3 linked regions of the Rhinolophus ferrumequinum genome follow. The protein of the gene in region 1 interacts with the protein of each later gene in a pairwise test. Links are inferred from orthologs where the notes say so. Each region holds a gene or a part of one and is shown in the gene's direction. Other genes may lie near its edges.

Region 1 (7,895 bases):
AACGCAAGCACTGAGAATTCTAGTTATGTGTCACATGCATTTTTGTAGTACAATAGCAAAACATCCTGATTTATGGTGGTGTTTAGCAATCAATGAGGTTGATGCTAGGAAGACTGGAAAGGCTCCTACTCTGACACACACACACCCCACACCTGCTTGGTCTGGGTGACCTTTTGCAGGCTGACAAGTCCTAGGGGGGCAGGACTGGTAACTGACCTCTGTCTCCCAGCTACTTTAGACTCAGTGACTGAATGTTGAGTAAATGCCGTTTATTCCTACTCAGAATTTTAATAAAATTGCTAACAACCCTCAGGACTCCTATGCATTTTATTTTATAAACAAAGTATTATTTATTATTCCTGTCTCCCTTCTTGAAGCAATTCATTTGAACCAGGTATTTAACCTAATACCTGTACAACTGTCAGGGCCCTGTCTCTGAGGCCCCTCCCTCATCTAAGTCACAACAACTCAGGTTTCTTGCAGCTCAGTTCCACAAACTTCACAACTTTAATAATTTCTGATTTTCCATTCAATTGGACCCTCAGGGGATGAGCAAGAATGAGTCTGATAGAGGAAGGAAGATAAAGGCGAGAGGAAAAGTAGAGATGGGAACCACATGTGTGCATGTGTATTTGCTGATAGGTTTTGGTCCAGAGGTCATGTATAACACATCTACACCATGGTAGGCCTCGCTTTGAAGGAGCGTATTTCAATGTGGAAGAATGTAAAATCACAAATGTTTATCACAAGTCGTGATTCTAGCGTATCATTATTGTGGCTGACATTCTCCAGGTATATGAGAATGATGAGAACAATACGTGTGTGGAGGCATAAGTTAATATTCATTATGAACATTAATATTCACTATGAATATTCACTAGTCCGTGAACCCAGAAGGGTGAGGCTGCAAACTTAATGTCTACAGCAGCCACGCAGTTCCCATGAACTGGAGAGTCACGTTTGTGGTGAGCCGGAGCCTTAACGTTCTTTCTGAAGGAGACAGTTATCACCCACCCAACTGCCATCTTGCATGAAAGCAGACCCAGCTGGCCAGCACTTCCCATTTTTGAAGAGAAACACAAGAGTCCACATTATAAATAGGAAATCTCTTGATTTGTAAATATGGCCACTAATTCAATTAGAAGAAATTTTGAATGGGCCCACAGAACCATGTCTGTATCCTGAACTTGGTCCTGAACTTGAGGCTCATGTTTCCAGTTAGAACCACCCCTGAGACGAGTAGTGACTCCCCGGACAAAGTTATGCAATCTCAGTGTTCCGCCTTCGGCAGGGGCAAAGCGTTATGCGGAGTCCCCAAAGTGCCTCCAAGACCCCCGTGCAAAGTGATTCCCACAGCACAGCGCCCGCAACCAGCATCCCAAAATGCAGCCCTGCCTTTTAGGCATCTCAGAACCGTCAGCCCCAGAGACAATGCATCAAAGACATGTTATACTACTAAGAATACTAACGATCAAGGAAGGCCTCAGCCATTTGGGGTCAGCGTATTATCCCCGAAAAAGAAGCTGCTTCTTCCATACTCTGGCAGAGATAGGTGTCAACTCAGAGTCAAATGCAAATAACTTGACTCAAAGGGAGAGAAAAAGGGCTGAGGAAACCAAGCCAACATCAGAACTGCCCAGGACCCTCTGCCAGGGGACGTACCAAGGTCACTGGTCCTTCACTTACAGAAATAGGTGATGCCTGCCCATAGAGGTACAACAGGACAGACCATTGAAATGTAAATCTCCTTCCATACCAACCCCCAGCTACCTAGGTTTCCTCCGAAGGGCAAAACTGTTACCACATTTTTGTGTCTTCTTAAAATATCTTTAGAAGAGCTCTGGAGTGTGAATACATTGGAATGGAAGGCTGTTTTAGAGATGCATGTTCCTACAGAATTCTAGGATTAGAAGGGACCTGGTTCAGTCCTTCAGCATAACCTTCCTGAGTACTTCTCCTGCATACATGTCTTTCTAAGGATGGAGAATCGCATTCCACTCGGAGGCAGCTCACTCCACTTTCAAACAGCTCTACCAATGTATGAAAGGTCATTTTTAAAATTCTGAAATCTGCCACTTTGATGTGTTTCCTCATCAATTCTTGCTTTGACCTCAAAGGCCAGAGAAAACAGGTGGTCAAATGCCTCTCGCCCAAGATGGAACTTTAAATATGTGAAGGCCTGCTGTCTTCACCCCGCCACAAAGCCCTGTTTTCGTCCCCTTTGGGGGACTACTCCCATGCTCCTTCTAGAAAGGTTTAAACGCCTACTTAAAATGCTCAGAAACCTCTTCTAAGAGGAAAACTGCTCATCAGAGGAGGAAAAAAGGTCTCCAGTTTGGAAGGTGGAGAAGAGAAAGAACAGCGCGTGTTAGGAAAATTGATGGGCCACGTGAGATTTTCTATGGGAAATACCAGAGCCTCGGTATGTCCTGGTTAATCTGGTGCCATGGATGCTTTCTCCGGGCCAAGGTGAGATTTGGGTTGTACCCTCTCTAGAGAGTTTCCAGATATTCTGAAATTGAATTTGGGATCCTGAAGTCTGTTTGTCTCAATTTTGGAAAAGTTTCAGTGATGAGGGATGAAGAACATGGCTGGGATTTGGGTTCAAGGCTGGTCTCGTGACTAGGAAGCATGCCCTGGGACACTGGGCAGGTTACATGGGTGACCTTTCCAACCCACGGCTTCCTCTTGCTATACAAGGCAGACAAAAGTGTACCCTGGCTCATAGGTGATCAATACTTAGTGGCATGTGGTCAGGCTGCTCCCGCTGTTCCCGTGGTGGTGGCCTGGGCCTGGGACGTGACCTGGGATCACTCTCTGCAGAGAGACTGTGTTCGCGAGCCGCAGCTATGCAGGGCCCAGTCTGGGCAAAGCTCCATGCTCTCAAGACGTCATTTCCACCAGCTCAGTCACACAGTTTTGTACCTAACAAGCACCACAGTTACCTGTGCACCCCGCGACCTGCCAAAGAGTACCACGTCACCCTGAATGTCACCTCTTAAGTCGCCAACTCCAAGGAGGAATCCAAACTTACAAAGGTGTCCCCAGAGGATGGATCCAGCCAGGGTGGGTCTGTGCGCCAGAAGCTCTGCCTCCTCCTCTAGTGATTGCTTTATGGAAGGATGTGATAACAATACAGCACTGCACAGGTTGTTGCTGTTAGAAAAGGGTGGTTACTGAGAACTCGCGGGGCTTCACACATTTTCTTCTCCTCGTGGACTCACGGGTGAAATTCCTGCGCAGTCTTCAAAATTAGCTGCAGCTTCAACTGATTGGCGTTGTAGCAAATGGACAATATGTTTTGTGCCAGCCATGGGATTTCCTTGACAGAAGGCTCTGGAGCCAAATTTGCGGCCTTGTTGAGTAAATGCATGGAATCCGTTGTAAGACTCACCCCCAGCTTTGTGCCATGTCCCACTGTTGTGTTTCTGATTTACCCTTCTCTGAGGTGTGTTACCTCTGTAGCTGTGTTTCTTCACAGACTGCCTTGTTAAATATTACAGGTAACATGTAACCCTGTTTGGAACATGTGGAGGGAACCCAGCACACCACCTGCAGAATCTTCAGAGCCCTCTTCATCGGGGCGGAAGGGGTTCGGAGGGCTCAGGGCCATCTTGATGTGCGCAAACAAAGGAACAAACACAAATGACTCTAAATTCAGAGTAAACACTACAGGCTGTGCCGACAGTGAGGCACCCTGTGCCCTGCATTTGCTGGACGGGGAGATGACCCTCCTTCTCTGGTGACACCAAAGGTCAGGCTGTAATTCCACTAACTTCAGTTTTGTGACTCCTGCTTAAATAGGGGGGACACCAGAGCCCACCGGGCCTGATGTCAGCAGTGGGACTTATGAGGAATAGAGGGGGTCTGGCTGTAGAATGCCCCCCCCCCCAGGACGTTTGTCCTGTAGTGAAGGAGCGAATTTGCTGAATGAATTTACCTAAGTTTCTGCAGCTAAGAAAGCCTAATTTCTTCTGGCCAAATCCTTAGCCAATTTCCCTGGTGTTTCTCCTGCTTGAGTCACGCGTGGCTGTCTGAGGGCACTGGGCACCTCGATTTTCCATAAAAGCATCTCCTCTAGTGTTTGTATCAAGCCTTTATCCAAGCGCCGGGCTTTTGCAAAGTAATTTACCGTGAATATTTGCTTGTCAAGTACCCCTGGCTGGCTCCGGGCCTAGGAAAGCTGTGGGCTCCCTCGGTACTCGTGCATTCATTCAACTAACATTTCCCAACGTCCGGCTCTGTGCCAGGAGTTGGGTGCCCTCATTTCAGACGATTCTGAGGATGCTTGACGGGCTGTGAAGGACCCTCCGACTTGAGAGCCCCGACTCAGCCGCTGGCCCGCGGGCGCAGCGAGGAACCAACCACCTGGCTGCCAAGCCAGCCTCGGCCTCCAGTAGGGTCCCCGGGTGCTTCGGGGGAGTTGGGCGAGAATAAAGGGGTGGTTTCCTCACCCGTGCCATTATCCAGCCTTGGGCATAAGTCTCAGCCAGGTCACCGGAGCTGGTACAAGTTTGCTCTGCAAGTTGAAGGGGTGGGGGCAATGTCTGGACGCAGGCTGGGTCACCGAGATAGCAGCGCCAGTCCGCGAGGGCTGGGTCCTGACGCACAGCGCTGGGAACTCGCCTCTCGGAACACGAATTCCCAGGAGCGGCCGCCGGCTCCCGCACGCCGCCCCCTCCCCGCTCCGCGCCGTCGCCCGAGCGCTGGGGCCCGCGGGGGCCACCGTGGTCTGCCCCTTCCGCGCGGCTGCCTGCCTGCGGTCCCCGCTGCTGGTTATTCCTCCCTCCTCCTGGCGTTCGGCTCCTCGCGATCCCTCCCCCTGCTCTTGGTCCCTCCTCCTTCCAGCCCAGGCGCCCCGCGCCCCCGCCCCGCGAGCTAGACGTCTGGGCAGCTCCGAGCGCTGCGCCGCGGCAGCAGCCTCCGCCCCCCGCACGGTGTGCACGCCCGCGGCCCCGGCTGCCCGAGTCCCCAGCGAGTCCCCAGCGAGCCTGCCCCGGCGGCCGCCGCCTCCCAGCCCGGACGACAGGCCACCTCCGGAGTCGCCGCCACCACGCACAGCCGCCCGGCTCCGTCTCGGACTAATTGCGGAGAGCGGGAGCGAGCGCCTGGGGGCAGCGATGCGACCCTCGGGGACTGTGGGAGCCGTGCTCCTGCTGCTGCTGGCTGCGCACTTCCCAGGGAGCCCGGCGCTGGAGGAAAAGAGAGGTACGGGCGTGTCCGCGGCCCCGCGCCACCCGGCCCGCAGCCGGCCCTCCTTTCCTGCTTCCTTGAGGAGCGGCTGCGCTGCTGGCCGGGACCGTGGGAGGAACGGGACGTTTCGTTTCTGAACTGGGCGAGTCTGCGGCGGCCCGAGGCGGGGAAGCTGCGGGCGCGGGCTGCGGGCGGGTGTGGGGCGCTCCCCGAGCGCTCGCAACTTTTCCGCGTCACTTTCCTGCCCTCCTGCGCGGGCTTGGCGTCCTAGAGCGAAAGTTGGTGCGGAGCCGGGGGCCGCTCGGGTCCCCGCGGTGCCGGCCGGCGTCCGGGCACGTGCGCCCGCGCTGTCCACTCAAGGGGCCAGGCTCGCGGGGCGCGCCCCCCAAGGGCTTCCGGACGCCCAGGATGCGGGAATCCCTCGGGGGACCTCCCGGGGCTCCCTACACCCGCGTCTTCCACTGAAGCCGGCTCGCTCCTTTCCCGGGCGTGGAGCTGCAGCCTCGAAGTGGGAGGCCCGGAGAGCTCGCCTCTGTCGCTAACTACCTGTGGCTCCCGGCAAGGGACTTAGTGTCCTCTTCGGCTCCTGGGGCGCGCCCCCACCCCCGCACCCCCGAGCTCCCTCCGGATCGTCCGCGGCCCTTGTCCCTCCCGGGAACTCCCGAGGTTTGCCCCCCACCTGCAGCACTTTGGTCACGTCTGTGGGCTTCGGGGTGGAGCGGGGCAGAGCGGTGCGACCGGCTGCAACCGGACAGCTGGGTCCTGGTGCTCACCTGCCTAAGGATCAGGACCCCACAATTTTTCAAAGTAGGGCTCCTATTTTGAAAATCCCGAGATTTTCTCTTTGGGACATTTCTTTTAGCTTTTTTAAAAATTTGACATGGGGCCAATCAAAATATTAAACTTAATTTTAAAAAAAAATGAAAACCGGATTTGGTGCCAAGTGTCCAGAGCGAACATGAGCGAGTCTGGCTTCGTGACTACCGACCATAAACCCACTTGACACAAGAAACATGTCTCAGAAGGTTTAACTGCACAATTTCAAAATCCTGCAGCCGGGTTCCAAGAGTCAGGTCTGTACTTGCAGTTGATGTCATTGGCGCAGGGAGTGGGGTTTGGTCCTGAGGGCGTTCGCTGGGGGAGCGTCAGGGCCGAAAACCGCGCTTCCCAAACTTGGGTGCAAATTAGAATCGCTTGGGATTTAAAACCAAACCGAACCCAAAATAAACAACGATGTCTGGCTCCCACCCCCCAGACATTCGGATTTCCTCGGTCAGGAGTGAGACCTGGCCTTCCGGGTTTGTACAGGCTCCTCAGGTGATTTTGTTGGGCCGCGGGATGTGAGGGATGACAGGCAATGAGTAGGGCGATTCGCAAAGACTCCAACGTCAGATGCTCTTTCTGGACATCGGGAGTTTTACCAGCAGTTGCAAAATACTGTGAGAGGAGACGGAGGTGATTTCAATAATAGTGGATTAGTTTTTTCACCGAAAGCTTTTCCTCCGGAGTCTGACGCCCCCTCTTCCCTGCTGTGAAACGGTCCCTTTGGTCCTGCTCCTGAAATCAGCTGACCAGGGCCGCCTCTCAGGCAGGTCGCTCTTTATTTTCTCTGCAGGGGTCGCCTGTCCTTTACATTAAAGTCTTGGAGCACCTCAAGCATCACTTTTCTCCAGAAATGTCCCCAGTGCGTCGCTGTTACCCCTTTGAACCCCAGGATTAGTGTGTGGAGATCTGTTTCTGAGAAAAATCGAAATACCGCTTAACTTGCCTGTTGGTCCTGTACTTGCTTAAAGCGGAATGCTCCTGAAAAAGAAAATGGTGAGAGTAGGCGAACAAATGTCATTCAGTGAAAGTAACATTAAAGACCAAAATTTAAGGGGTAAGTTATCAAAAATGAGATATGTTTTACCAAAAGTGTTAAAGACCCGTATCAGTCAAATTCAGTTAGTTTTATTCAAGAAAATGTGCTCATTTTAGAGAGATTTGTTTGGCTCTGAGGTATGGTATCGTCTCTTCCTCTTGTACTTAGTACAGTCAGACACGAGTTTGACTGTCCTATCAATCCTTGTGACTCTTCCATCATGCATATGAGGGGAAACTGAGGTACAGAGAAGTAAAGTGACTTTGGCATAGCTTGTGAGAGGCAGGACCAGGATTTAAACGTAGGCCATTTTGCCCAGAACCCTCTGCGGCCAGCCATCTCCACTGCTGTGTGTGAGTTCTGGTTTCAGGAGCGCCCGTTCAGGTGTGTGTGAGCATCTAATGTCAGCTGCTGGGAGGGGGAGGGAATGGACCAGGGGCTGGGCTTCTTAGGATGGTCCCTTCTGTGAACTTGGAACAAGCCGCCGCCTGGTCAGCAGTCTAGACCCCTGCCCACAGTTACTCAGTAGTTGCTCCGGCTGCCTTTCCTGGTGGCAACTCAGTCACCAAACCAGCAATGAACGTGGAGATCGCTCAAGGAATGTTGAACAAGCCCCTTGTTCTTGCAAAATGGAAAGGTACAGAAAATGTTGTTCTAAAAGAGATCTGGTGTGTGTTCCAAGGAGTTCCCAACCCAGCGAGCCTCCCTGCCCCACCTCTGAACACATTCTTGACTTTGGATGGTCGTTTCTGGCTCCGTATATTTCGTTTCATAGTCCAGGATGCTTCAAAGCTTATTCTGAAGTTTGAAGAAGCCTAGTGCCAAAATCCATGGTGCTCCA
Region 2 (6,989 bases), on another chromosome or scaffold:
CCCACCTGCCAGAGCCTCTCTGCTGGCGGATTCCGGATTCCACGTCAGTCCTGAGGTGATTGGGGTGGGCGCCTGGCTGCTCCGCCAGCACCTGCACCCACCCACTCCCAACAGCCCAGCTCCAACGCTGCAGTTAGCTGGGACAAATAGCTCCACCGGCCGGAGTGGGGGCGGTGGCAAGGAAGTGCCTGTGAGAAGCTAGAGTCAGCATCTGCCGGGAGGAGCCCAGACACACCCAGACACAGATTCCTGTTAGCATTGTTTCATTCATTCAACACTTATTAGTGTCTACTGTATACCAGAGCTAAGTCTGGGCATCTGGGGTGGAGGAGGGCTGGTAGAAGGTGAGGACATCTGAGCGAGGGAATAGACTCAGAGTAGGTGATCCTTTTCTTTAAATATGCAACACTTATCAACGCCTACTATATACTAACAATAGTCTTGGACATCATGAGGGGTAGGGAAGAAGAGTCAGAGTGGTTTGTGTCTCCACAGTGCAGAGAACAAACCGAGACACTAATGCTCTTAGCATTTGATCATTCATTTAGCACTTACGAATGCTGGGTCCCTTGTAATGGGACAAAGTATTAGAATCATCATAATTATGGTAATAGCTAATACTTAGTGCTTACTTTGTGCCTGGTAGTGTTTTAAGCCTCCATAGCATGAATTTGTTTAATCCACCATGAACATGTAAGGATCAGTAACGTCCCCATTTACCAAGGAGGAAACAAAACCACGAAAGGTAATAGGCTGGCCATTTCTGAAGCACCATGTCAGGAGCAGAGTTTAGGACTTCGTGCTGTGCGTGGAGGGGCATCACTGTGGGAGAGTTCAGATGGGAGATTTGTGGCACCCGGAGTCTGTCAGCGTGCTCACTTCCCTGGGTTGATTTCCCCTTGTGTAAAATGGGCCAGTTGATGGGTTGAGATGAAGACGGGGTTGATGAATATTTGGTCATCTTGGGAGGAAGAAGCCAAAGTGAGGGGTTCTGGTTGCTACTACAGAGTACAAGAGAGCGTTTACAAGACAGTGGAAGTTCGTGCGTGTGCATTATGTAGCACATATCCTTGTGCATGTGTGATATGCAGACCTATGGATCTGTGCAAGAATTAAGGATGTATTGAGTGTGTGCAGTGTGAAGTTACAACCATGTGTGCACCATAACAATGTGTGCGTTATGGGGGGGGGTGCACATCTGGGCAACATGGATAAGTGTGTGTGTGTGTTATAAACATAGGTACAATACTGATTACAAACATGACGTGTGGGATTCACAGTCGTTCACAGCAAAGAAAACCATTCTTGGAGCCTCTTCTGTACACACATTCCTGCTGGAGAACATGGAAACGGTGTAGAGGAGCCTTACCTCTGCCTCAAGGAGTTGAGACACTTCTGGGGGGGAATCCTCATTCTTCTTCAAAACAGTCTACAAAAAATTAATCCCTGGAAATTGAGCCACCTGGTGAAAGAGAATGACGCTGAGGTCCACCAGTACTAGGAACCTAGAAATGGGGCCCCTAGGAAGAGGCAGTCTAGCAACAGATTCCTGAGGAGCCAGAAAAGTCTAGACCTGCAGTAGTTCCTGGCCCCCAGAAAAGGCACCATGGGTCCAACACAGCTTGTTTGTTTCAGTTACTGAGCAAACAAACTGGACAGCACATATTGGAATGTTGGGAAATGCCCAATTCGTGGGGAGTTTCCCATGTGGGGAATGCTGGGATATGGAATGCCAGAGAGGGTGTTGGGAGAGAGGGGAAAGGAATGGCCAAAGCAAAGGCCTGGAGGTTCGACTGAAGCTGTCTGGGATGGAGGAGGAAGTAGAAGATGGTTTGGAAGTTTCTGACTTGCCTGGGAGCCTCAGGGAAGAGGGGATGGAATCTGAGTCCTGGGGGAGGGGACTTCCCAGAGACCTTGGTCAAAGATGATCTCTGAGAGAGGGGAACAGGACATGCCTGGCAGAAGTCACAGCACGTGCAAGGATAGAGGTGGTCTCCCCCTACCTCCTGCCCACCCCAACACACACCGCCCTAGAGGTGAGTCAGGTGATCATTTTTAGTTTGAAGGCAGGCACTCTGACTCCAGACCCCACAATATTACTACCTCGTTTAAACAGGCCATTGATTTAATAAATTAAGAGTGGACACGTGAATAAGTGGACGATTCACCTGAAAAGCCTGCGGGCAGAAGAAACTCCCAATCTGCCTACTTCTTGCCATATCTTCTTCCCCCTCAGTTGGTCTCCCAGCATCGCTCACTATGCCCACAAGGCCCTTCTCAATCCTGTCCCTGCTAGCCTCTCTGACCCCATCTCCTGCCAAATCCCCTTCTTTCAATTTGCTTCAGCCACACTGGCACCTCGTCTGGCACATTCTTAAAAGGAAAAAACAATGTGTGGATCACAAATTGAACGTGACCCTTTGGGAATGAATTGGAATTCTCGGGTTCCTTCATCTATAAAATGGAAATGATATTACCCACCCCATATTATTGTTGTGAGGATTGGATGAGACAATACATTTCTCAAAACAGCTCAGTTAAGCATTGGGTACAATCAATCAACAGATAATTATTTTAAAATGAATTTGTGCTTTCATTGTAGTCAGGATCTCATAGGAGCAGACAGAATGATTTTCACGGCCCACCTCTACCTGGACTATAAAAGTCATTTGCTTATGTGGCAAACATTATTTGGCACCAACTGTGTGCATACCATAGGATGGGTCTGCCTCTGCCTGTAGAAAGTTCTCTGGTGCAGGGGGAGACAGCCATGGGCACTGATAATACCAGGTGGTTTTCTGATTTTTGGCAGACGAATGGGGGCGTACAGACCGAGTATGTATGTAGAGGGGGATAGATGGACACACGTCAGGGCTAGAGCTTCAGGGAATGTGCCGGTGTGGCTGATCTATGTTCATTATCGTCTGTGGGTATGCCTTTTAGCTGGGTGTGCATACTCGTGTGAGTTTCCCTGGTTCAGTGTGTTAGTGTGGTGCCCGTGTGCGTGTAGGCGTATACACGTGCATGTATGCATGCATGTCCATGTGTGTTACCCTGGGCTTGGGTGTGTATAGATTCCTAGATTGGTGTGTCTTCTCTGTCTGTACATGCCTCGTGTGTTTCCTTACTTTTGTGTGTGTCATTCCCGTGCGTCTCCAGCCCCCCAGGGCAAGGGTGTGTACCCCGCCCAAGTGTCCAACTCCGCCTGTCTGTTGCTGTCTACGCCACCCCCGCATGCCTCTCTGCCTAGCTGAGCCTGTGTAGAAGTGGGAAACTGATCACGCTGCGGGTATTGCGTGTGACCCCTACCCCTCGCCATGAGGGAGTTATTTCTGTACTTTTGTGTCTCTGTGTATGCCTCCATTCCCACCCCCCCATACATGCCTTCTGTGATGAATATCAACACTGGAAACCAAGTATCTGCGGAGGGTCCTGCGTGTGGATGCGACTGAGTATGAAGACCAGGATGAAGTGGGGTGGGGGGCTTGACTGACCACCCACCCCAAACCTTCGGACAAGCACCTACCCCCGCCCCCACTCCCCAAATTGCGCATCCCCAATCGGAGGGGGGGAGGGGAACAAGATGCGGCGTGGCGCGTGCGCACTGCCACCTTCAGCACCGCGGACAGCGCCTTCGCCCCCGCCAGCCGGCGCGCGCCACCGCCGCCCCAGCACTGAAGGCGCGCTGACGTCACTCGCCATTCCTCCACAAACTCCCCTTCCCGGTCGCCTTGGTCGCGTCCACGCCGCCGGCGGCCCTGCCGGACTGCACCACGCGGGGCACGAGATAGGGGCGCACGGGCGCGACCATCCGCGCTGCGGCGGCCGCGACTAAGCGCTGCCTCAGTCTGCAGCGGGCAGCGAAAGAGTCGCGTCGTGCCTGAGAGCAGCTGTGCTCCTGGGCTCGGCGCGGTCCGCCCCCGCGGCTCCTGACCAGACTGCTCCTAGGACCCCCTGCCCCGCGCCGCAGCCATGAACTACCTGCGGCGCCGCCTGTCGGACAGCAACTTCATGGCCAATCTGCCAAATGGGTACATGACAGACCTGCAACGCCCGCAGCCGACCCCGCCACCACCTGCTGCCCCCAGCCCCGGAGCCACGCCCGGTCCCACGACCGCCAGTGCCGAAAGGGCCTCCGCAGCCGCCCCTGTGGCCTCTCCGGCCGCCCCTAGCCCAGGGTCCTCCGGGGGTGGTGGCTTCTTCTCGTCGCTGTCCAACGCTGTCAAGCAGACCACTGCGGCCGCGGCCGCCACCTTTAGCGAGCAGGTGGGCGGCGGCTCTGGGGGCGCAGGCCGTGGGGGCGCCGCCGCTAGGGTGCTGCTGGTCATCGACGAGCCCCACACCGACTGGTAAGCCACTGCCCCGATGTCTCTCCATGGGCCTGGGTCCCCAGATGGTTCCGTGACGAGCAATTATCGAGCACCACTTGTGTGCTTAGCACCTGAGCCCCCTCGCCCAAAACCTTTTCCTTTAAATTATTATGCTGGCCGCTTCCTTTGTACCCCGCCCTTACCCCACCCCAGGTCCACTCGATCCATACAGGGAGAGGTTATGGGGCACCTGCTGTGTACCTCCTTCCCAAAAGCGTTGGCTTTAATGTGTCATGTGAACATTTGAGAGCAGAATGTTCCCTGCCCCCCCAACCCTCGCACCAAAGGCCTTATTTATCCTCTAATGGATCTCGTGAGCATGTATCAAGTACCTGCAGTGTGCCTCAACAGGAGCCTTTCTCCAGGGCCTTTGGCTTCATGAATTTTGTGATCATGCGTTAAGAGTTTGACATGTGTCTTGTCCCCTGCAACCCTTGCCCTAAGGCCTTCTCTCTAATAGATCTTGTGAGCATGTATCCAGAGTGAGCTGCGTGCCCGACCCCAGCCCTCTCCTCAAGGACCTTTAAAACTAGTCAGTGAACTTCGAGTGCCTGCTGTGTATCCCACCTCAGCTTCTCACCAAAAGTGTTGCCTTTAATGGATCCTGTGAGCCTTTATTGAATGCCTTCTGTGTGCCCCAACTCCGGACCCCCTCTCCAAGGGCCTATTTCTCCAAAGAATCTAGAAAGCGTTTATTAAGTGTTTGATGTATGCCCCGTCCCCAAACCCCTTTCTCAAACATATCATTTTCCTCAAATGAGCATTTTTTTAGCCTTCTGTGTGTGACTCATCCTCAGACTCTCTCCCCAAAATCCTTTTCCTACAATGGCTCTAGAAGGCATTTATTGAGTGCCTCCTTTATCCCCCATTTTCAAGCTACTTCTTCAAAGACCTTTCCTTTGATGGACCCACCTAGCACTTATCAACCGCCTACTGTGTGAGCCTTCTCTAAAGACTCTTTTCTCCAGTGTAGTCAGCAAGCATTAATTGAGTGCCTTCTATTTACCCCATCCCCAAACCCTTTCCTCAATGCCTTTTCCTCCAGTGGCTTCAGTTTGCATGTATTGGGCACCTTCTGCATGATCCAAACTTAGACCCTCTCCATAAAGGCATTTGCCTCCAATAAATACAGTAATCAGATATCTAGCACTTGCTGTGTGTACTATTTCAATCCCTCTTTCCAAAGACCTTTTCTTTTTAATAACTCCTTGGAGCATTTGTGGAGCACCTGATTCTGTGCCTTCTCCACAAAAGCCTTTCCTCCCATAGATGAGGGAATCAAGCTTACATAGATCAAGTTTCTGCATCCCCACTCCCGTTCCCCAAAAGACTCTTCCTCCAATGGGTCCAGTGATTGTATGCCCATCCCTAGCCCCGCCCCCCCCAAAGACCTTTTCTCTTAATGGATTCACTGCGCATTTATGCCTTATCTGCCAGGTGCTCAATTCTAATCTCCTTTCCCCAAAGGCCCTTCCCTCCAATGGGTTCTGTCAGCATTTATGGAGTGCCTTATGTGTGCTCTGTGTTCACTCTTCCTCCCCAAAGTCCTTTTCTTCCAGTGGATCCAGTACCTATTGTGTGTAGGGAGTATACCCCACTTCATCACCCCTAGGAGAACCTGCCTCTCCCCTGTCAATCATAAAGCCTCTCCCCAGGCTCCTTTACTTTGATAAGTCCAGAGCCCAAATTATAAAGGTTACCCCTTTCCCACTCCCTTCAGTGTCCTTAGGATTCCCTCTCCCAATCTTAAGTCCATACTTCAAAGAGCCTTTCTTCTATTTAAGCCGCTAAACACTTTTTGAGCACCTACTAACTATATAAGAGCCATTCCGAGTCTGGAAGTTCTGCCCCTATCTCAAGATCTCCCCCCACCCAAGGGTCTACTTCAGCCTAAATTTATTGAGTATCAGCTTTTACTGGTTAGATAACCCCTCCCCCCCAGGAGCCCTTACCAGCGTCCTTTCTCTCTTTTCAGAGCCAATTATTTATTTTACAGATACTTTTCATGTGTGAGAGTGTGGGAGGCATTTGTTAAGCAGTCCTATATACTAGGAAGACCCCTCCTTCAGTTTTTCTTCCTTTTAATCCTAATCACCAGCTGGATTCTCTATACCTTTTCCTCCACTTAATGCCACAAGTGTTTAATGAACACTTATTGTATACTACTAAGAACCCCATATTCAAAGCCTCTTCTCCTCCCCCTCTTGTAGCCCTGATTCCCCCTTCAACAACCTTCACCCTGCCTTCCACACTACACAATCCTAAAAGCTCTTAATGTGCACCTACTGTATGCTGGCCAGGTCCCCTCCCCCACTCAGATGGCTATCTTCCCAACCGCTCCTTTCCCCCAATTAACCCAAGGAGCATTTATTAATCTCTTAGTGTGTTCTGTTCAAACAACCACATTTCCATCCCTGCATCAGATCCTCCAGTCTTTTCTCCATCATTCCACAAAGCATTTAATGAACACATGCTATAATTCCTTCACCAACACCCACTCGCACAGACGCCATCTTCCTGGCTAAATTTGCTTCACTGAAGTCAACAAACCTTTATGAGTTCCCTCTAAATATTGGTAACCGTCATCCTTCAGACCCCTTCTCCACTCTGACCCTCCAG
Region 3 (7,282 bases), on another chromosome or scaffold:
GGGATTAAATAAAATACGCACCAGAGAAATAACTCAAATGCCCCATCAGCTCCACAATGTGAGTCACACAGCAGAAGAGAAAATAAAACAAGAGCCCCAATGAAAAGCGACAGCAGCCGGCCTTCAGAAGACGCGCTCGAACTCCGTCTGGTTGGTCGTGGTGGGGTTTCGGCTCTGGTTGGTGGACTGCTGGGTGATCTGGCTGCCCTTCCGGCGTGGCGGCGCCAGGTATTCGAACATGGATGTCAGGTGGGTGGACAGCATGCCCTTGAGGTCCGAGGGCATGGGGTCAGACCAGAAGAAGTCGTGGTTGAGGGCGTCGTCGCTGTCAATGCGCTGTGCGGGATCCAGCACCAGCAGCTTGTCGATGAGGTCCAGGGCGTAGGGGTCACGCACGTAGGCCTTCAGCCTGTCCTTCACCTTCCGCTTCTGGCCCTTTACCAGGTCCAGTTTCTCAAACAGCTCGTACTTGTCCACATTTGGCCACACCTTAAGGGGGCATGGAAAGAGGATGAAGTTAATTCAGGGGGTGTGTGGCTTGTCCATTGGTCACGCACCTGAAGGGACTAAAATGTTTCCATTCAGATGCTCTCAGACCACGTCTAGAAGGCGAACTCGACCCCTCCGAGGTGAAAGCACCAGTGACCACGTATTTGGCACATCCCAAGTGCTGGGCCCTTTTACATAAAATGCCTGGAATGTGTGTGCCAAGACTGACACAGGCACAGTTGTTTCACAGAAGAGAAACTCAACTCTGAGATGAAAATTTCAAACGCCTTGCCCAAGGCCACAGAACTAAGTAGTGATGGAGCCGAGAGCCTGTGTGGCTTAAAGAGCAGGCCCTGTCCCTCCACCAGCCGCCTCTCCAGAGCTTTCTGTCTGTTCCACTGCCCACTCCTCCCCTGCCAGGGAGACTTCTGCATCCTGCAGGGCCCAGAGGCCCAGGCAGCCTGGCCACCCACCTCAGGGGTGATGGAGCCACAGAGCTGGCTGATGAGGGCGAGCTGATGCTGCTCCGTGTTGCCCTGCATGATAGGGCTGCGGGTCCACATCTCCGCCATGATGCACCCAGCACCCCACAGGTCAATGGGGGGGCCGTAGTCCCGCTCCCCTGGGAAGAAGAGTGCACCAGGAGTGCCCCTTGAGCCCGAGGGCCTCCTGAGACGCAATGCCCGGGGGCCGGCGGCTCAAGAAGCCCTGGCAGTGGGGGGCTGAGGCCAGGTTAAGTGCCTAGCCCCTGCCCCCTTCTGCCCACTCGGGAGTCCTCACCGAGCAACAGCTCTGGGGGCCGGTACCAGAGCGTCACCACACGGTTAGTATAGCGGTTAGGCTGACTGTTCTTGGCGAGACTGAAGGCCCGGGCCAGTCCAAAGTCTGCCAGTTTCAGGACCCCGTCTCGGGTGATGAGCACGTTAGCTGCCTTCATGTCCCTGTGCAGGATCTGCAAGAAGGGCAAAGGTGAGGGCTCAGTCAGGTTCCCAAGGGTCCTTTAGCCCCGCCACCCAGCGGTGGGAGTACAGGCAGACCAAGCCTCGGTCTCTCCTCCCCCACCTTGTTCCTGTGGATGTAGTAGAGGCCATTGAGCAACATCTGCATGACCCTCTTGATCTCAGACAGTGTGAACTTGACTAAGACGTTGCTCAGCAGCCCAGCAAGGTCATGCTCGCAGAAGTCAAACACCAGGTATATACTGCCTTTGCAGCGGTTATAGGGGGAAGCTGAGGTGGGAAGAATGGGGAAGGAGCAAGAAGAAGAAAATAAAAAATCCCATATACCACTCATTTTCCCACAACCAGCTCCTACCCCCCTCCAACCCACTGACACCCAGAATCCATCTGTGGGTTCCTTCACTGGTAAAGTATTTCCCGAGTGAGTCCTCTGGGCCAGGTGCTGTGGCGGACCCTGGGAAAGCACCAGCTACGATGAAAGGACCAGAGAAAGCAGTCACAGTTGGTAGGTATGCCTGGGTTAAAAGTGTGTCCAGTTCCAACTTTGCAAACAAAGCCTTAAGTTCTAAGCCTCATTTTCTCCATTTGAAAATGGGAACAAGATTCAAACAACTTACCTTTGGTTCGACAGATCTCAATCAAGTTGACCACATTCTCATGTTTTAGAAGCTGCAGGATCTTGATTTCCCGCAGGGCGGTAATGGGGAACTGGGTGGAATAAAGAAAGGAGGTCAAAAGTGAAAGCGCACTGCAGATCAAGGAACTGGCCATGGGGTCTATACTAACGGGAACAGGTTGGGAAGACACAGTAAGATCACAGGCTCTGAAATCAGCTATCTCAGATGCCTTATCTGTAAAATGGGTGTAAAGTAGTATGCACTCCTCAAGAAGATGCTTTCAGACAATGAATTGAAATAGTGATACTTAACCACTTCATTATTGGTCACTAAACGCTCCCTAATTTCTTCAACCTTTAAATTTTAGCTCTGTGCCTGTGTTTAACTTGCTGGGTAGTAACACAAATGACCATTCAAGTTCCTTGCTAACAAGCACATCTCTGAAAGCTGGACTAGAGCTAAGATGTGGTGGGAGAGGGACTCCTTTTCAGTTGAGTACTAGTCACCCTTTTAAAGCCATTGCATGTATTTTCCTTTTGCACTGAACAAAATTAAATTCTAAGGGAAGTGTTTTAACAAAGGCTTTCCAACTTCACAAGCCCAAGTGCATTCAGTGCAAGCATGAGCTCCCCCTCCTGGCCCCAACCTTGTATTTGCCTAAGAATGAAATACCAAATGCTTTAAAATATTTGAACTGAAAGATTTAATTTGGAAGTCAAATTTCCTGGGCTATGGAAATTCTCGAGCTACTACACATAAACTAAATTTCAACACGTGAGTCCTAGAAGCAGCAGGATGGAAACCCACATGCCCCGGGGAGATGGCTGGCCAGCTAGCCCACCCGACCCATACTCACCCCCTCCTTCTCGTTCTCCATCAGTACCTTCTTCAGAGCCACTTTTTGGCCGGTCAAGCGGTGCTTTGCCTTAAACACCTCCCTGCAGGCCGAAAGGGGGACCCAAAAAGATTCATCAGGCCGTTTTCACATGGCTCGCCCCTCCCCCTCCAGAGGAGGAGGGCAGAAAAGAGACTCCCGTGTAGGGCTGAGCCTGGTACCTAGGGCAGTGGGCTACCCTACTATCTGCGGTCCCTCTCCCAACCTCTACTTCCTCCCCAGTCTCTTCTCCTCAGCCTGACGTCTCTCGGAGAGATCCTGCTCCCCTCACAAGCTCCTCTGCAATTCCTGCCCGTTCCCCACCATGGGCCTCAGGCTCCTCCCCGCCAGCCAGCTCCATCAGGCCCCGGCGGACTGCAGTGCGGCCTAGCGAGACCAGGGAATAACTCTAGGGCCAAGTGGCTCCCCGACCACCTCTGGCCCAGCCCCGGGCGTCCCGACGTCGGCCCTGAGGGGTGCAGGCCCAGGGCACCGGGTCCCTCGGGGCCCATCCTTACCCAAAGGTGCCTTGGCCGATCTTAGCGAGCTTCTCATATTTGGTCACCTCATCACAAAAGGGGCACTCCACCGAGTCGTACTGCTTTGCCATGGCCGCCTCTAGCGCGCCGCCGCCACCCCCAGCCGCCGCCGCCGCCGCTGCTCCCGCTCCGGGTCCCGCCGCCGTGCTCCAGGCCCCTCCGCGGCCGCGCCACTTCCGCCTCCACGGCCACTTCCGGCCTCGAGGCGCCGACCCCGCCTCTTCCGCCCGCCGCCCGCCGCCAGGCCCCCTGGGACTTGTAGTTCCCGGGAGGCCAGGAGGAACCGGAGCTGCAGAGGCGCCTCCGCCGCCACCGCTGCCCCCACCTCCGCCGCCGCCACTGCTGGCGGCGGCCCCGATTGGGGGCGCGGGGAGCCGGGGCGCCGGGGCTGGGGCTCGGGGCGGTGCGTCCCGCTGCATTGGCCCGGGCCGCCGCTGCTGCCGAAGCCGCTGCCGCTCTGGCGCCCGATCCCGGGCCAGCCGCAGTGCCCTGCTCCTCCTCCTCCGACGGCGCCGCCTCCGCCGGGCTGCGCGGGGTGGCGGGCGGGGGGACGGCCCCCAAGCCGCGGCCTGGGGGGCTCCCTGGCCGGGCCCGGGCCCGGGGCGGCCGGGCGAGGGGGCGAGACGGGAAGAGCCGACGAGGAGGCGGCCCGAGAGCCCGGGAGGGGGCGCGTTATAAAGGGGGAGGTGCCCGGGCCTCGCCCTCCCCTCCCCCTCCGCCCGCCCCCTCCCTCCGCCCTCCCGTCCTCCGCGGCCGCACCTGCCGCCGCCGCTGCCGCCGCCTCCCGCCGGCTGTCCGCCGGCCGCCCTCGGCGCGTCACAGCCCGCGGCCCCTCCTACGCCTTCGGAGGTGGGGCCCCGCACTCGACACCTGGCTGAGGGGCGCCTCGCCGTGTGCCTCAGTTTACCGCCACATGCCAGCTGCCGCGGGGAGCGCCTATTCCCCCCCCCTCACTGGCGGGAGGCAGCGAGGGAGCGGCCTAAGGTCCGGGAGGAGAGAACGGCCCCCGCCACCGCCTCCCGGGGCCCCAGCCACCCGCCGTTGACATGGTAACCGACGGCCACCAGGGGGCGCGGCAACACTGGAGGCGGCGAATAAGCAATGCCCGGGCCTTCTAGCGCTGGACCCTGTTCTCTGGGAGGCAGGGATGAAACCTAGAGGACCCCCGCCCCAGCCGAGCTGCGCGAGCCTTGGGTCAGTAATCACAAAAATAGCATTTACTCAGTACCTCTGTGTACTCAGGAAGTACTGGGCGTTTCCTCTGAATCCTGAATCAACAGCGTCATAGTAAGGATCACTAACCCATTTTACAGAAAAGGACATTGAGGCTCAGAGAAGTGAGGTCATTTGCCCAAGGTCACACAATGACAAAGCTGGGACTCGAACCTGGTCTGCCTGAAGGGGATTCTCCTGACTCAGGCTGTCCTGGCCAGGACTACAGCAGTGGTGCTGTTTGAGGCCTGCTGTCCTTACGCCAGGCACCAAGCCTGCCATTCACCCAGTGTCTCCCTCCCTGGCCGTATTCCCCCTTCCCCTGCCTCAGCCCTTCTCCAGCATCTTTCTGATATCTTCCTGGCTCCAGGGGGCCTCCCGATTCTTCCTCCAGCTCCACTCAACAACCAACCCCCAGAAAAGCTGTCTTTTACCTCCTCTGTACCCCTTCGATCTGCCCCTCTCCATTCCATTGCCCATGGATCTTGAGTCCTGGCCTCCCCAGTCCGGCTTCTCCATCTGTCTCCCTCACAGTACCCACCAGAGCATTCTGAAATAGAGTCTGCAGGTATTTCCCTCCACTCCCTTAAAGAAAAAAAATTGTGACATTTGAGGTTCTTTCCAGCTCGCCTCCTAGGCCACACGAATCTCCTGTGTTTCCTAACTCCCCAGGCCTTCCTGTCTTTAGGGCTGTGCTTCCTGATTGCACCCCAGAACCTCTCTATCTGCATGAAACTCTCCAGCTCTTACTCCACATGCTTAGCCTTGTAGCCTCCTTGTAGGAGGAGGCAGGAGTGGGTCTGCTGATTATGGTGTCCCAAGAGGCCCTGTTCTGGACAAGGGCTCTGCCAGGGAGGGCCTTGTGGGTCCGGTGAGGAGCAGGGAGCCCTCCCTCTCCTGAGGGCAGTGTGGAGCCGGCGAGGAGGGTTTTAGGTAGTCGAGTGACATACCAGGGAGTGATCTGGGATCAGCTTCATGGGTACACTTAGAAGCAGGGAGGCCATTGGCTAAAGTGGGAGTGCTGAGGGCAAGGAGGGAGAAAATAATTGTGATAATTACAATTTATTGAAGGAAAATAAATGGTCCAAGCCGTACACTTAGCACTTTATGGGTATTATCTCAAGTCTCACTCAGCCATATAAGTTGAGTACTATTATCACCTCCATTATACACATAAGGACACTGAAACTCAGAGGTGACATCACCTGGCCAGGGTAAAACAGCTGGCCAATGGCCACACTGGCATTTTGAGCCAGGCCAGTCTGGCACAAAGCCCCAGCACGTACCCATGTCAGGACCCCACCTACCTGGACGGGGGGTGGAGCACAGGCATGGCACAGCACCACTGGATGAGTGCCCTGGATGCTGATGGGAGCTGGAGGAGGGGATATCAGCATTGGGGTCTATCATGGGTTTGTGTGGGTGCCACCATCAGTCTCTCAGACCGGGGCCCCTGCCCACTTCCCATGAATACTCCCTAAGTCACATCCTGTGGGCAGAAGCCTCAGCAGAAGTTCCGGTGGTGTCATCACCTCCACCCTACTGTCTTTGACCTGTACCCCAACATTTCACCAGTCACTTCACTTCCCCTCTGCGCCTTGTGTCTCCAGCCTTCCCTGGGGAAAGAGGGCAGGCAGGAGTGGTCAGAAAGCTGCCCAGGCTGCCCAGGTGGAAGGGAGAAGAAATGAAGCGCGAGCCAGAAACAATTTCTCACTGACTTGGATTTCTGATTCGCTCTTTTGAGGGAAATGCTTCCTGCTTCCCTGGATTGGCTAAGCTAGCCAGGCCGGACGTGTGGCCAGTACTCAATAAATGTTTGCTGACTGACTACAAGGCTGTGAGAGAGCCTGTGGTCCTGCTGCCATTTAACAGTCAGGGAAACTGAGGCACAGGATGGGAAAAGGAGCCACTGGCCTGGACCCTCTTATTTTCTCCCCCAAGCAGGGACAGGGTGGAGAGGGTATGGAGGGATGAGGAAGATGGGCCCATGGGGTGGGTGCTCTTGGCTGCTGGTAAGTCTGAGGAGACAAGGGATCCCTGAATGGGGGGTACAGAGAATGGCTGTGTGATACCTAGAGCCCTGTAACACCATGGACATTCTGTCCCCACTAGACGGGTACTGACTCTGCCAGGACCTGTATTGATATGTTGTCCCCCTAGAACTTTACAGCACCCCTATTAGGAGGTTGCTAGTATCAGGCCCAAGTTACAGAAAAAGAAACTGAGGCTCAGAGTGTGCCCAAGGCCACACAGCCAGGAAGCTATGGAGCTGGAATTCAAAGCCAGGTCCCTCTGCTCTCAAAGGCTGGGGTCATTTATCACTATCCTACACTGCCCCCAATACCAGACAAGTGGGCAAGCTGGGGAGAGGCATCAACTGAGTCCCACAGTACAGCAGGCGTGGGGCCAACGTGGATGCGTAAGGCTGCTTCCTCTCAGAGCACAAGGTCTGTTTGGAAGATGCAAAGAAAGACACAGGAGAACGTAATAGGGATGATACTCTCATATAAATGTTTTATTTCATTGCCACAGGATCGTGTGAAGATGTGGTATTTGTCCCATTTTACTGATGGGGAAAATGAAGCTCAGAGA

The links. The genes of interacting proteins can lie anywhere in the genome.
Region 2: the proteins of EGFR (region 1) and SYN1 interact in a protein complementation assay, tested with the Homo sapiens proteins (2 studies listed by IntAct). The link is inferred for Rhinolophus ferrumequinum from reciprocal best matches to the Homo sapiens genes EGFR and SYN1.
Region 3: the proteins of EGFR (region 1) and SH2D3C interact in a protein complementation assay, tested with the Homo sapiens proteins (3 studies listed by BioGRID and IntAct, with this or other methods). The link is inferred for Rhinolophus ferrumequinum from reciprocal best matches to the Homo sapiens genes EGFR and SH2D3C.

The regions. Positions count from the first base shown.
Region 1 is NC_046303.1:4,395,620-4,403,514, forward strand, and holds the start of EGFR (epidermal growth factor receptor), read left to right. Parts: upstream 1-4,894; 5' UTR 4,895-5,120; coding exon 5,121-5,208; intron 5,209-7,895. UniProt on the Homo sapiens protein: Receptor tyrosine kinase binding ligands of the EGF family and activating several signaling cascades to convert extracellular cues into appropriate cellular responses.
Region 2 is NC_046284.1:86,361,993-86,368,981, forward strand, and holds the start of SYN1 (synapsin-1), read left to right. Parts: upstream 1-3,972; coding exon 3,973-4,349; intron 4,350-6,989. UniProt on the Homo sapiens protein: Neuronal phosphoprotein that coats synaptic vesicles, and binds to the cytoskeleton. Acts as a regulator of synaptic vesicles trafficking, involved in the control of neurotransmitter release at the pre-synaptic terminal.
Region 3 is NC_046295.1:76,826,804-76,834,085, reverse strand, and holds the start of SH2D3C (SH2 domain-containing protein 3C), read left to right. Parts: upstream 1-4,265; 5' UTR 4,266-4,625; coding exon 4,626-4,672; exon of another isoform or gene 4,673-4,775; intron 4,776-5,440; exon of another isoform or gene 5,441-5,711; intron 5,712-5,997; exon of another isoform or gene 5,998-6,137; intron 6,138-7,282. Other genes in the region: CDK9 (cyclin-dependent kinase 9), read right to left, coding at 124-489, 963-1,111, 1,270-1,441, 1,552-1,718, 2,066-2,156, 2,922-3,003, 3,458-3,897. UniProt on the Homo sapiens protein: Acts as an adapter protein that mediates cell signaling pathways involved in cellular functions such as cell adhesion and migration, tissue organization, and the regulation of the immune response.